Macaca mulatta: one gene and its partners. The main gene of each other region encodes a partner of the protein of the gene in region 3 in a complex. Links are inferred from orthologs where the notes say so. Each region holds a gene or a part of one and is shown on either strand. Other genes may lie near its edges.

Region 1 (3,654 bases), on a different chromosome or scaffold from region 3:
AGGAGGGAGGAGGAGAGGCAATGGAAATGGATGAGGAGGCAAGAAGGGAAAGAAAAAAACCAATGTCAAGGCAAAGAAATAAAACAAGAATGTTAATCACTGGTGAATCTAAGTGAAGATATATGGGTGGTCAAGGTATTCTTCTAACTTTTTTGCAGGTTTGAAATTAAAAAAAAGAAAAACATTACTATCCCTCACCTCGGATTTCCCCCTTGTACTCTTCTCACACTTGGCAGTGTCACTCATATTACTAGTGATGACCTCTGAGAATGTCTTACTTCCCATGAGCTCCTGAAAGGAGACACCTTTCAATTCTTTGCCCCGCTCTCTGCAGCGAGCATGCTGCCCAGCGCAGAGCAGGCAGTGGCAAATACGGGTAAGAAATGAGTCCATGTAGGCTGGAAGATGCAAGGCATTCACCTGTGAGGCCGGCAAATACGAAGTCAAGGCCTGGAATTGCAGTATCAGTTCTGATGAGGTGCATGACAGGCGTGTCTCCTGGCTGCTTGGCCTGGTCCCAGCAGAGAGTTACTCAGGCCTGGAGCCAGGTCTTTCTAGGGGGACTACTGAATGGAACTGTAGTCTGAAAGTGCTGTTACAAACTGCCTGAGTAGTTTTCAGATTGATACTTTGTACATTACAAAGTGATAGAAAAGTACAGTGCTCCTACAACCCTTTCTCTTTTGATTTTTACAGTGACTCTGAGAGATAGGTATTACAGTATTTCCATTTGACAGATGAGGACACATGCTCAGAGAAGGAAAGTGACCACTCCAAGGTCACACACAGAGGAACTGGGCTCAATCTCATGTCTTCAAGACTAAAGATCTTTCCACTAGACCATGCTGTCTTCTTTGAGGTCTGACTCCTAACCTAATAGCAGAAAGACACACTTACCTGATTCAGTCTTTGGACTACATCTCCCCACACTGTGAGATCACCACAGGCAGCTTGGGCTTATTGTTGGGGCCTGTGGGAACATTCTAGGAAAAAAAGCACAATGGACATTCATCCACTCAGGCACTTCCTCATTCCCTTATCAAACTTTTACTGATGCCTGCCAGCCCCTGTGCTAAGGACTCAGCACTCAGAAACTGTCCATGTCCTGGCAGACAGGTATCAAAGAGAAAATGCAAAACACTTAGAAAACATCAAACCTATGATAATATAACAAAAAGTTATGAGAGAGTTGGATAAGGGGTAGACGGGTAACTAAATTGCTGCTTAAAGAGGTCAGGGAAGGATTCACAAAAGAGGATTATTTGAACTGTGCCTAGAAGGATGAATGGGATTCCACCAGGAGGGAAGGAAAGAAGAGCATTCCAGCTACAGGAAACAGTGTGAACAAAGGCTCAGGAGCAGGAAAGAGCAAGGGGCAGAGATGTGTATGGCAGATTTAGGGAAGAGCTAGTAGCCTGATGTGACTGGAACATGAAAGAGGCAGTGGCAGGAGAAGGGGCCATGGAGAAGTAGACAGGGACTAATCATGAAGGACCTTGAATGCAATGCTGAGGAGTAGAATTTTATCAAGTAGGCAACAGGGTCGTCAGGGGCCAAACCTCAGTGCTGACCAGACAGGCTAACTTAGGTGGTCTCTCCTCCCTTTTCCTGAAGCAATGAAGACTGGGCCTAACAAACTGGAGCTCATTCCCCCTTCTCTAGCTCCTGGACGCTAGTCAGACAGTACCAGACCAGAATGGGAGAGAAAGAGAAAAATCAAAGCAGTACTTACCTCAATCTTTCTCATCACTAGAAGTCCATCGATGATTTTTCCTGTAGGAAGAGTGTGAGCTGGACTTTATTCTTGTTTACATAGCGTTTTCCAGCTTCCAAAGCCCATTCTTAGCTATTATGTCATTAGATTCTGTTACTAACTTTAGGAAATTAAGATGCAGTAGAGGTGAAATGACTTGCTCAAGGTCATAGGTAATAAGTAGAGTTAGGGCTCACACTTATATCTGAGTGACTGCAAAGTCTCACCATATCATGCTGCCTGTATGGCATTTCTTTGGTGCTAGCTACTGGGTTTTCCCCTGAGTGGTTCCATACTATATCAAATGGCCCTTTTGTCCTTCCCTCTAGTTCTCTAGCCAAACATGTTCCCCACCTCCCCACCATTTCTGTTTTCTCTGTTACCACCTAAGCAGTTATCCAAGTTGAGCATTCTTGGTAAGAGTCTGAGAACTAACTCCTCTGGAGGTTCCATCCGCGGTGAATGGGGCCTGGACCATGGGACATGAGTAGGACTTACCAAACACCACATGCTTCCCATCCAGCCAATCGCACTTAGAGCAGGTGATAAAGAACTGACAGCCATTTGTACTCGGACCACTATTTGCCTGATGGAAACCAAATATACCTGCAGTAAGTTTCCTTGGCCATGTTACCTGATGGGTAAGATTCCCAAAAGAGCTTGTAACCCTAATCCCTCCATGTTTTTTTCAGTAAATCTAACTTAGCACCTATTATGAGCCAGGGCCTAAGCTAGGATCCAAGGATACAGAGATGAACAGGATATGGCTCACTGCAGACTCAAATTCCTGGGCTCAAGCAATCCTCCCACCTCAGCCTCCCTAGTAGGTGGGACTCCAGGTGTGTGTCACCATACCTGGCTAATTTTTTTTTTCTTTTTTTAGTAGAGACTTAAGTTTCACTATGTTACCCATACTGGTTTCAAACTCCTGTCCTCAACCTCAAGCAATCCTCTTGCCTTGGCCTCCCAAAGTGCTGGGATTACAGGTGTGAGCCACCAGGCCCAGCTATGAATATGTCTTGAAAGCACAGCTTTTTACATTCTGAGCAGTAGGGCTGAATGCCTAGACACAAACCCTGGTTCATATTTTAGTTCCCCAGCCTGCTAGCCTGCTAGAGGGTCTTACCTACTGGTTTTCTTTTCTTTCTTTTCTTTTTTTTAAGACGGAGTTTCGCTCTTGTTGCCCAGGCTGGAGTGCAGTGGCACGATCTTGGCTCACTGCAATCTCCCCTTCTTGGGTTCAAGCGATTCTCCTACCTCAGCCTCCCAAGTAGCTGGGATTACAGGCACCCACCACCACACCTGGCTAATTTTTTGTATTTTTAGTAGAGATGGGTTTCACCATGTTGGCCAGGCTGGTCTCGAACTCCTGACCTCGGGTTATCCACCCGCCTCAGCCTCCCAAAGTGCTAGGATTACAGACGTGATACAGGCTCACACCTGTAATCCACCATGTACCTACTGGTTTTCTCAATCAAACCAGACTGAGAAAAGAGGTGGTAAAGGTGAGTCCTGGGGCAAGCAAGAGAAAGAAAGCATTTGCTTTCATCATGCCAAAACACAGCATTGGGCCTCAAGAGGGGCCCAGAAACCAGCTGGCTGTAACGCAAAACCTTGATTGGACCTCACTTACCATGGAAAGCAGGCCTGGGGCTGAGTGTCTAAGTTTAAAATTTTCATCTGCAAATGGCCCCCGGTAAATACTGGCAACTCCAGTACCATCTCCCTGAGCAGACAGAAGGGAAATATTAGTGACTTGGAGTGTTGGGTCCCTGGAAACCAGAGGAAGAACACTGTTGCACCTAAAGCCTGACATCTTTAAAGTCTACTCTTACTCTTGTTGGTCATCTTGGAAGCTGCACCTATTTGACCCCACCCTGCCATCAGAGCAAGCCTTATAC
Region 2 (2,648 bases), on a different chromosome or scaffold from region 3:
TGGGTTTATCCTTCATGTTCTCACCAACTCTTGTATTAGCTTTTTTTCATCTTTTCCAATCTAATCGGCAACAAGTAATATCTCATTCTACATATATTTTATTTGTTTACTAGTGAGATTCAGCAGTCTTTCACATGGATAGTAACCATAATTTTTTTTCCTCTTATGAATGTCTGTTTGTGACCTTTATACGATTAAAACAAAATGTTCTATACTATTAGATAGCGTTACTAAAAGAACGTGCTTATTTTGTGGTTTACAAAACACCAAAAAAAAAAAAAAAACCCAAAACAAAACACAACATACAAGAAAAACCTCCAACTCTCTGTAGCAGTTTCTGTGTAAGAAAATGTCTTGTTTTGGTTATGTATAGTAGGTTATCTCATGGAGAAGGAAACGGTTATATTTCTAACCCCCTGGGCAGTTTTTTTTTGTTTGTTTGTTTTTTGTTTTTTGCCTTTGCTGTGAGAACAGATACTTTAATTAGAAGTGAACTTTTTTTTTTTCTTTTTTTTTTTTGAGACCAAGTCTCACTCTGTCACCCAGGCTGGAGTACAGTGGCTCAGTCTTGGCTCACTGCAGCCTCTGCCTCCCAAGTTCAAATGATTCTTCTGCCTCAGCCTCCTGAGTGGCTAGTGTTACAGGCACCCGCCACCACGCCCGACTAATGTTTGTATTTTTAGTAGAGACGGGGTTTCGCCATGTTAGCCAGGCTGATCTTGAACTCCTGACCTCAAGTGATCTGCCTGCCTCTGTGTCCCAAAGTACTGGGATTACAGGCGTGAGCCACTGTGCCCAGCCTGGACATTTCATTTTGAAATTCTTTTCATTAGTTTTCGAACAGGTTTGCATATTGTGCCTCAGAAGTTTCTTGCTCATTTATAATTGTGGCTTATATGTAAAATAATACAGCAGGAAATGAGCTAAAGTTATAGCTTAAGCTTTCTTTGGCTAGGAAATAATTTTATTATTCACAGTCCATTCTGGTTCTTTGAGAGTTTACCGCCTTTAGCAGAATTCTGGTAGATTAATGTCTTATGCTGTCATTACACACACAATTTTGAAAGGAAACTTTTTTGTTTAGAGGATAATGGGGGCAGAGGCAGAGAGTGAGGAGCATATTAATGAAGTTAAGACATCAAATGAGAAACTTATAGACTCGACTAATTGAATCTAGTATTTGTTTTTACTTAAATTTTTTTTTTCTAGAAAATACCACTTTAAATTAGAGACAGAGTTAGAGGCTTGCAGATTTTCATCTTCTGAAAAAGATCATTAGGTCAAATTTTACAAAATTTATACCATCTTAACACAATTAAAGATTCACTCAAACTGTTTCCTTGAAAGCTCCCTCAAATGTTTTTGGCCATTTTCTCTATTAGTTTTGATTGGAAAATATTATAGCTGTAACAAAACAGAACAAGATGTGTTATAATGCAATATGTTGCCCTATATTCTCAAGCTGCTCTTCACTGTGAGTCACAGCTTTAAGATGTTCTTTCGGGAGCACCTGCTGTCTCCTCTTCTATTATTTTAACAGATTGTGGAGACTTCCTTTTAACCCTGGAGTACATTCATCTGCTGCAATAGATGTTGTAAAAGGATGAAATAAATCTGCCAGACCCGTATTTCACTTAGTGGCTGAAGTAGGAAATGCCACTGGAACCAAGGATCATTTGTTCATGCATAATTGCCCACCTTGTGCTTAGCTTTCACAGAATGGTATTTTTGTTGGATTAGTCTTATTCTCTTACTTTTTTGAATGCTTTAAAAGTTGCTATGTGGTCATACATACCGTGAGGGAAGTGACAGTTTGTTGTTTTACTGGGTAGTAGTGGGTGCGTGACTGCCTTCCTAGTCTTCATTCAGATTGGCCTAGAGTTGTTTTGTGCTTAAGCTGTTGAGTTTCATTTAGGGTATGAATTTTTTTATTAAGTATCTAAGAGCTAATGAATAAAGAGATCGTCTGCTCTAAGGTATACCCTGTAATTTTCAACTCCTACTTGCCTTGTATTTCTTCTTTTTGACTAAATATGTCTACAGGGGTCCTGGCTTGCTTGGATGGCTACATGAATATAGCCCTGGAGCAGACAGAAGAATATGTAAATGGACAACTGAAGAATAAGTATGGGGATGCATTTATCCGAGGAAACAATGGTAACATTTCTTCACCCTACAGTACAGCATTCATTCAAAATAAGCCTTTCTGTTTATAATCCAGATCACCAAAGAGTTTACTAGATAATTTAAAAGTCCAGTTTTAGGCTTGATTATTTTAAAATGCTTATATGTCAGTTTGACCAGTTATTTTTTTAGATACATCATGGAATTTTTAAACTAAAATTCCCTCCTTCCCTTCCTTTAGTGATGAGGAACTGGGGGCATTGTTCTCCTGACCCGGAACCCTGCTCTCTTGAATATAGTGTATTATTATCTCCCCAACACATATTCCTGCTTCTTGTAGCCTGGAAGTTGCAGCTGTAAGAATGGGTACCATTTCCCTGCTGTCTTTAATTTGCATAATTTGGCAGTTTGTCCTATTTGTCCCTTCTCTATTAAACATTCAGATGCTTTCTGTGCAGATTTGCATCCTTTGATTTGGCAAAAATGGCAAAATAGAAAAAATAAAGTTACTCAGTTTTTTAACA
Region 3 (3,754 bases):
CATAAAGAAGTCATCGAAGCAAGCTGTTCAGTTTGGTTAATAATTTTAGCCTCCTATAAAAATTATACAGGTCAACATGATAAGGATTAAGTGAGAATGATGGAAGTGAAAACTCCTTGAAAGTATATAGAGATACAAATTATTACATGTATCTAGGATGAAACTAGGGACTGTGAAGTATACAAAGGAAGAAATATTTCCTTCTCCCATGAAGCTTAGGATATTACAGGCGATATTATCAACACAAAACACTGGCACATTACATTTCAAATTGCTTTGTACTAAATCAGGCATTATCTTCTACCAGATTCCAATGCAGACAAATGGTAGAGAAAGCCAAAGTTCCAAAGAGGGAAAGAGAGGGATAGGGATACCTAAAAGGAAAAAAAAGGTCTACTATACATTTTACCTTTTCTGCAAACTGCGAAAAACTGGCCACTACGGAGCAGTATAGAGTAGCAGTTAAAAGTGCTGGCTGTAGAGGTTAAAGGGCACAGGTTCTAATCCCACTGCGCCACTGATCTTGAACAATTAGTTTCATTTCTAACTAGGCCTTAGTTTCCTCATCTGTATCCTACTTTGCTGTTGTAGGAAGTGAATAACGTAATGCAGAGTAAGCTCTTGGAACATTACTTGGCATTTAATAAATGTTCAATAAATAACACCTATTATGGCTGTAATTTTTCTAGGGGGTTGGATGAGGATCTGGCCAGCTACGGAAACGTCAATATTTTGAGGATCTCCCACCGTCCACGTGGAGATAAAAACCTTATGCTGTTCGTCTCTAATACCCCAGCATCCAGCAGGGCAGAGAGACGTACAGTTCCCTGACACCCTCCTAACCATCATCTTACTCTCAATCTGATACAAAGACCAGGCTGAAGACAAATGAACAAAATCAGGCCGAAGCTCCTCCGCCGGGTCTTTATTTGACTTTGGCACCAGCGGGCTCTTCTAGCTTAATCTCTCGCTGCAGCCCAAATCCACCGCCGAGCCATCAAGCTCATAGGTGGCCCCTGGGAAGACTTCCGGACCATGGAAGAGAACAGTCCTCGTCCCCTAGCTCCAGGCCTGTACCTCGGATCCCAGGGTTTCTATGGTAACACGGTCCTCGGCTCCCAGAAGACGTAAACGCCCCCGTAGGCCCGGGGAGGCACAGCGGGCCCCGGAAGCCCTCGACTCGCTCCAGAGTTCAGCCCCGAGCCGCGCGAGTCGACTTACCTACCTCTTTTCAAGTCGGCTCAGCCCCTTCCCGGAACCTCGGCTCCCCTCCACGAAACTACTGCTACGCCAACTGGACTACACTTCCCAGACGGCTTGGAGCCTCTCTCTCAGCAGAACCTCGTCTTCCGCGAGCTTTTCTTGGAGGTTCTAGGAGGGATGCCCCTCAATGCCACGACGCCATTTCCTACTACGACTTCCATCATGCTCCGCGCCGCTCCGGGCGCAGCGACGGCTCTTGGCCCATGTCCTGTTTGCGACACACTTCCGGTCAGTGACGCACTTCCGCTCTGCTGGGCGCGCGGTGGAAGGTCTGAAACGGAGAGCTTGGATTTCGCTGGGGCCTCGCGGCTCCAGAGCCCAGCATGGCTTCCTCGCGAACCTCCTCCACGGTACAGAGCCCGGGATCGCAACTCACTCTGGCAGGGAGCGCGGAGGGGGAAGAGGATCTCTGCGGGAAGGGGCCGTTAGGGAGCGAGAGAAGGCGGTGGAGGGCTGAGGAGGAAGGCTGCGGGACTCAGTGGTCTTCTACACAGCGGACCACCGTTTTCCTGACCCCTAAGCGCTTTCGTGGACTGTAGCTTATTTGCACCTCTCCCACTACAGCCCCAAAGGGCAAACATCTCTTCCGACTCATCCAGTAACGGTGCTCTGAAATAGGGAAGTGTCTTGGCCAAGGTTTATGCGTTTGGCAGATCTCAAAATTTTAATGAGACCTACTAACTTCTACCTCACGTCTAGAAACGTTTGAAATGTATACACTCGTAATGTTGTAACTTGTTATCCTTTAGCACCGCGTTGGTTATTTCATCTATCCTTAATATTTCCCCAGTGATGAGCAGTAATCTTGGATACATCGTAAAACACGAGATTCCACGTTTCCAGCAGAATAAAGTAAACAGATTCCAGAGCAAACCTTTCATATGAAAATACTCGAGAGAACCTCACTAGTTTTATCAATCCCGTCAGCTAAAGTGAGGGACTGAAACACCCTCCCCTTCACCTCAAATCGATGAAGAACATCTTAAGTAGTGTCCAATTTGTCCTTTCAATTATGAAGGAAATAGGACTGTGAAACTCAGGGCGAGCTTCATCCTCGGGAAATCCGGTAAATTGCCAAGATTAAACCTCAATTTAATCCAGATTTTTGATTTGGCAGGCAACCAAAACTAAAACACCCGATGACTTAGTTGCTCCGGTTGTGAAGAAACCACACATCTATTATGGAAGTTTGGAAGAGAAGGAGAGGGAGCGTCTGGCCAAAGGAGAGTCTGGGATTTTGGGGAAAGAAGGACTTAAAGCAGGGATCGAAGCTGGAAATATTAATATAACCTCTGGTAAGATGCAAATTGTGAACCCATCTTTACCTCTTTGTGTAATGAATACTTTCCTAAACTTGAATATCATCAGTTTTATAATGTCAAAAAATTTAAGTTCTTTTGTTTTAGACGGAGTCTCGCTCTGTCACCAGGCTGGAGTGCAGTGGCGCGATGTCTGCTCACTGCAACCCCCGCCTCCTGGGTTCAGGCAGTTCTCCTTCAGCCTCCGGAGTAGCCGGGATAACAGGCGCACACCAACAAGCCCAACTAATTTTTGTATTTTTAGTAGAGACGGGGTTTCATCATGTTGGTCAAACTCCTGACCTTGTGATCCCTCCCCCTCGTCCTCCCAAAGTGCTGGGATTACAAGCGTGAGCCACTGCGCCTGGCAGAATTTCAATTCTTAAACTTGCATCTATAAGGCTGTATTTTGCCTACCCCCTTAAAATCATGCAGAGAGCCTTTTTCTTACAATGTGTTACATAGTTTTGCTTCTACGAGTGAGCAGTCTTATCAAAAATTCAGTGTACATTTGGATTCAGATTGATTCCATTTGTCTTCTGGAGATCTAACATAGTTCTGGCATTGGTTTGCAGCTAGAGTGGTTCGTGATAATCTCCCTTTTGAAGTTTTCCAATTATTTTTTACCCAAAGGGAAATATCTTTTTTTTTTTTTTTTTTTTTTTTGACACAGGGTCTCACTCTCTTGCCCAGGCTGGAATGCAGTGGCATAACCGTGGCTCACTGCAACCTCTGCCTTTTGTGTTCAAGTGATTCTCCTGCCTCAGCTTCACGATTAGCTGAGATTACAGGTGCCGGCTACCACACCCAGCTAATTGTTGTATTTTTAGTAGAGACGGGGTTTCACCATGTTGCGCAGGCTGGTCTCCAACTCCTGACCTCAAATGATCTGCCCACTTCGGCCTCCCAAAGTGCTGGGATTACGGGCGTGAGCCACTGCACCTGGCTGAGATATCTTGTTTTATTATAAAAGTAATAGTGGCCAAGCCTGGTGGCTGAAACCTGTAATCCCAGCACTTTGGGAGGCTGCGAAGTGGGAGTCCGGCTTGAGCCCAGGAATTCAAGACCAGCCTGGGCAAATAGTGATACCCCATCTCTACAAAAAAGTAGAAAATTAGCCGGGCATGGTGACGCGTGCCTGTATTCCCAGCTAATTGGGGTTCTGAGGTGGGAGTTCAAGGCTGCAGTGAGTC

The links. Proteins that work in one complex are often made in the same cells at the same time.
Region 1: the proteins of PRPF4 (region 3) and PPIH are in contact, whole or in part, in a crystal structure (PDB 1MZW), measured with the Homo sapiens proteins. The link is inferred for Macaca mulatta from reciprocal best matches to the Homo sapiens genes PRPF4 and PPIH. Residues at the interface, in NP_004688.2 of Homo sapiens: Arg113, Gly116, Glu117, Pro118, Ile119, Thr120, Leu121, Phe122, Gly123, Glu124; in NP_006338.1 of Homo sapiens: Phe14, Arg26, Phe46, Cys47, Thr48, Gly49, Pro57, Ile58, Gly59, Tyr60, Lys61, Gln173, Cys174, Gly175, Glu176, Met177.
Region 2: PRPF4 (region 3) and LSM6 share a complex: the UniProt entries of both Homo sapiens proteins name them as parts of the precatalytic spliceosome. The link is inferred for Macaca mulatta from reciprocal best matches to the Homo sapiens genes PRPF4 and LSM6.

The regions. Positions count from the first base shown.
Region 1 is NC_133406.1:198,092,906-198,096,559, forward strand, and holds part of PPIH (peptidyl-prolyl cis-trans isomerase H), read right to left. Parts: intron 3,480-3,654; coding exon 3,387-3,479; intron 2,340-3,386; coding exon 2,252-2,339; intron 1,774-2,251; coding exon 1,733-1,773; intron 984-1,732; coding exon 915-983; 3' UTR 898-914; intron 1-897. UniProt on the Homo sapiens protein: PPIase that catalyzes the cis-trans isomerization of proline imidic peptide bonds in oligopeptides and may therefore assist protein folding. Participates in pre-mRNA splicing.
Region 2 is NC_133410.1:154,735,084-154,737,731, forward strand, and holds part of LSM6 (U6 snRNA-associated Sm-like protein LSm6), read left to right. Parts: intron 1-2,043; coding exon 2,044-2,157; intron 2,158-2,648. UniProt on the Homo sapiens protein: Plays a role in pre-mRNA splicing as component of the U4/U6-U5 tri-snRNP complex that is involved in spliceosome assembly, and as component of the precatalytic spliceosome (spliceosome B complex).
Region 3 is NC_133420.1:45,037,204-45,040,957, reverse strand, and holds the start of PRPF4 (U4/U6 small nuclear ribonucleoprotein Prp4), read left to right. Parts: upstream 1-1,533; 5' UTR 1,534-1,586; coding exon 1,587-1,613; intron 1,614-2,380; coding exon 2,381-2,558; intron 2,559-3,754. UniProt on the Homo sapiens protein: Plays a role in pre-mRNA splicing as component of the U4/U6-U5 tri-snRNP complex that is involved in spliceosome assembly, and as component of the precatalytic spliceosome (spliceosome B complex).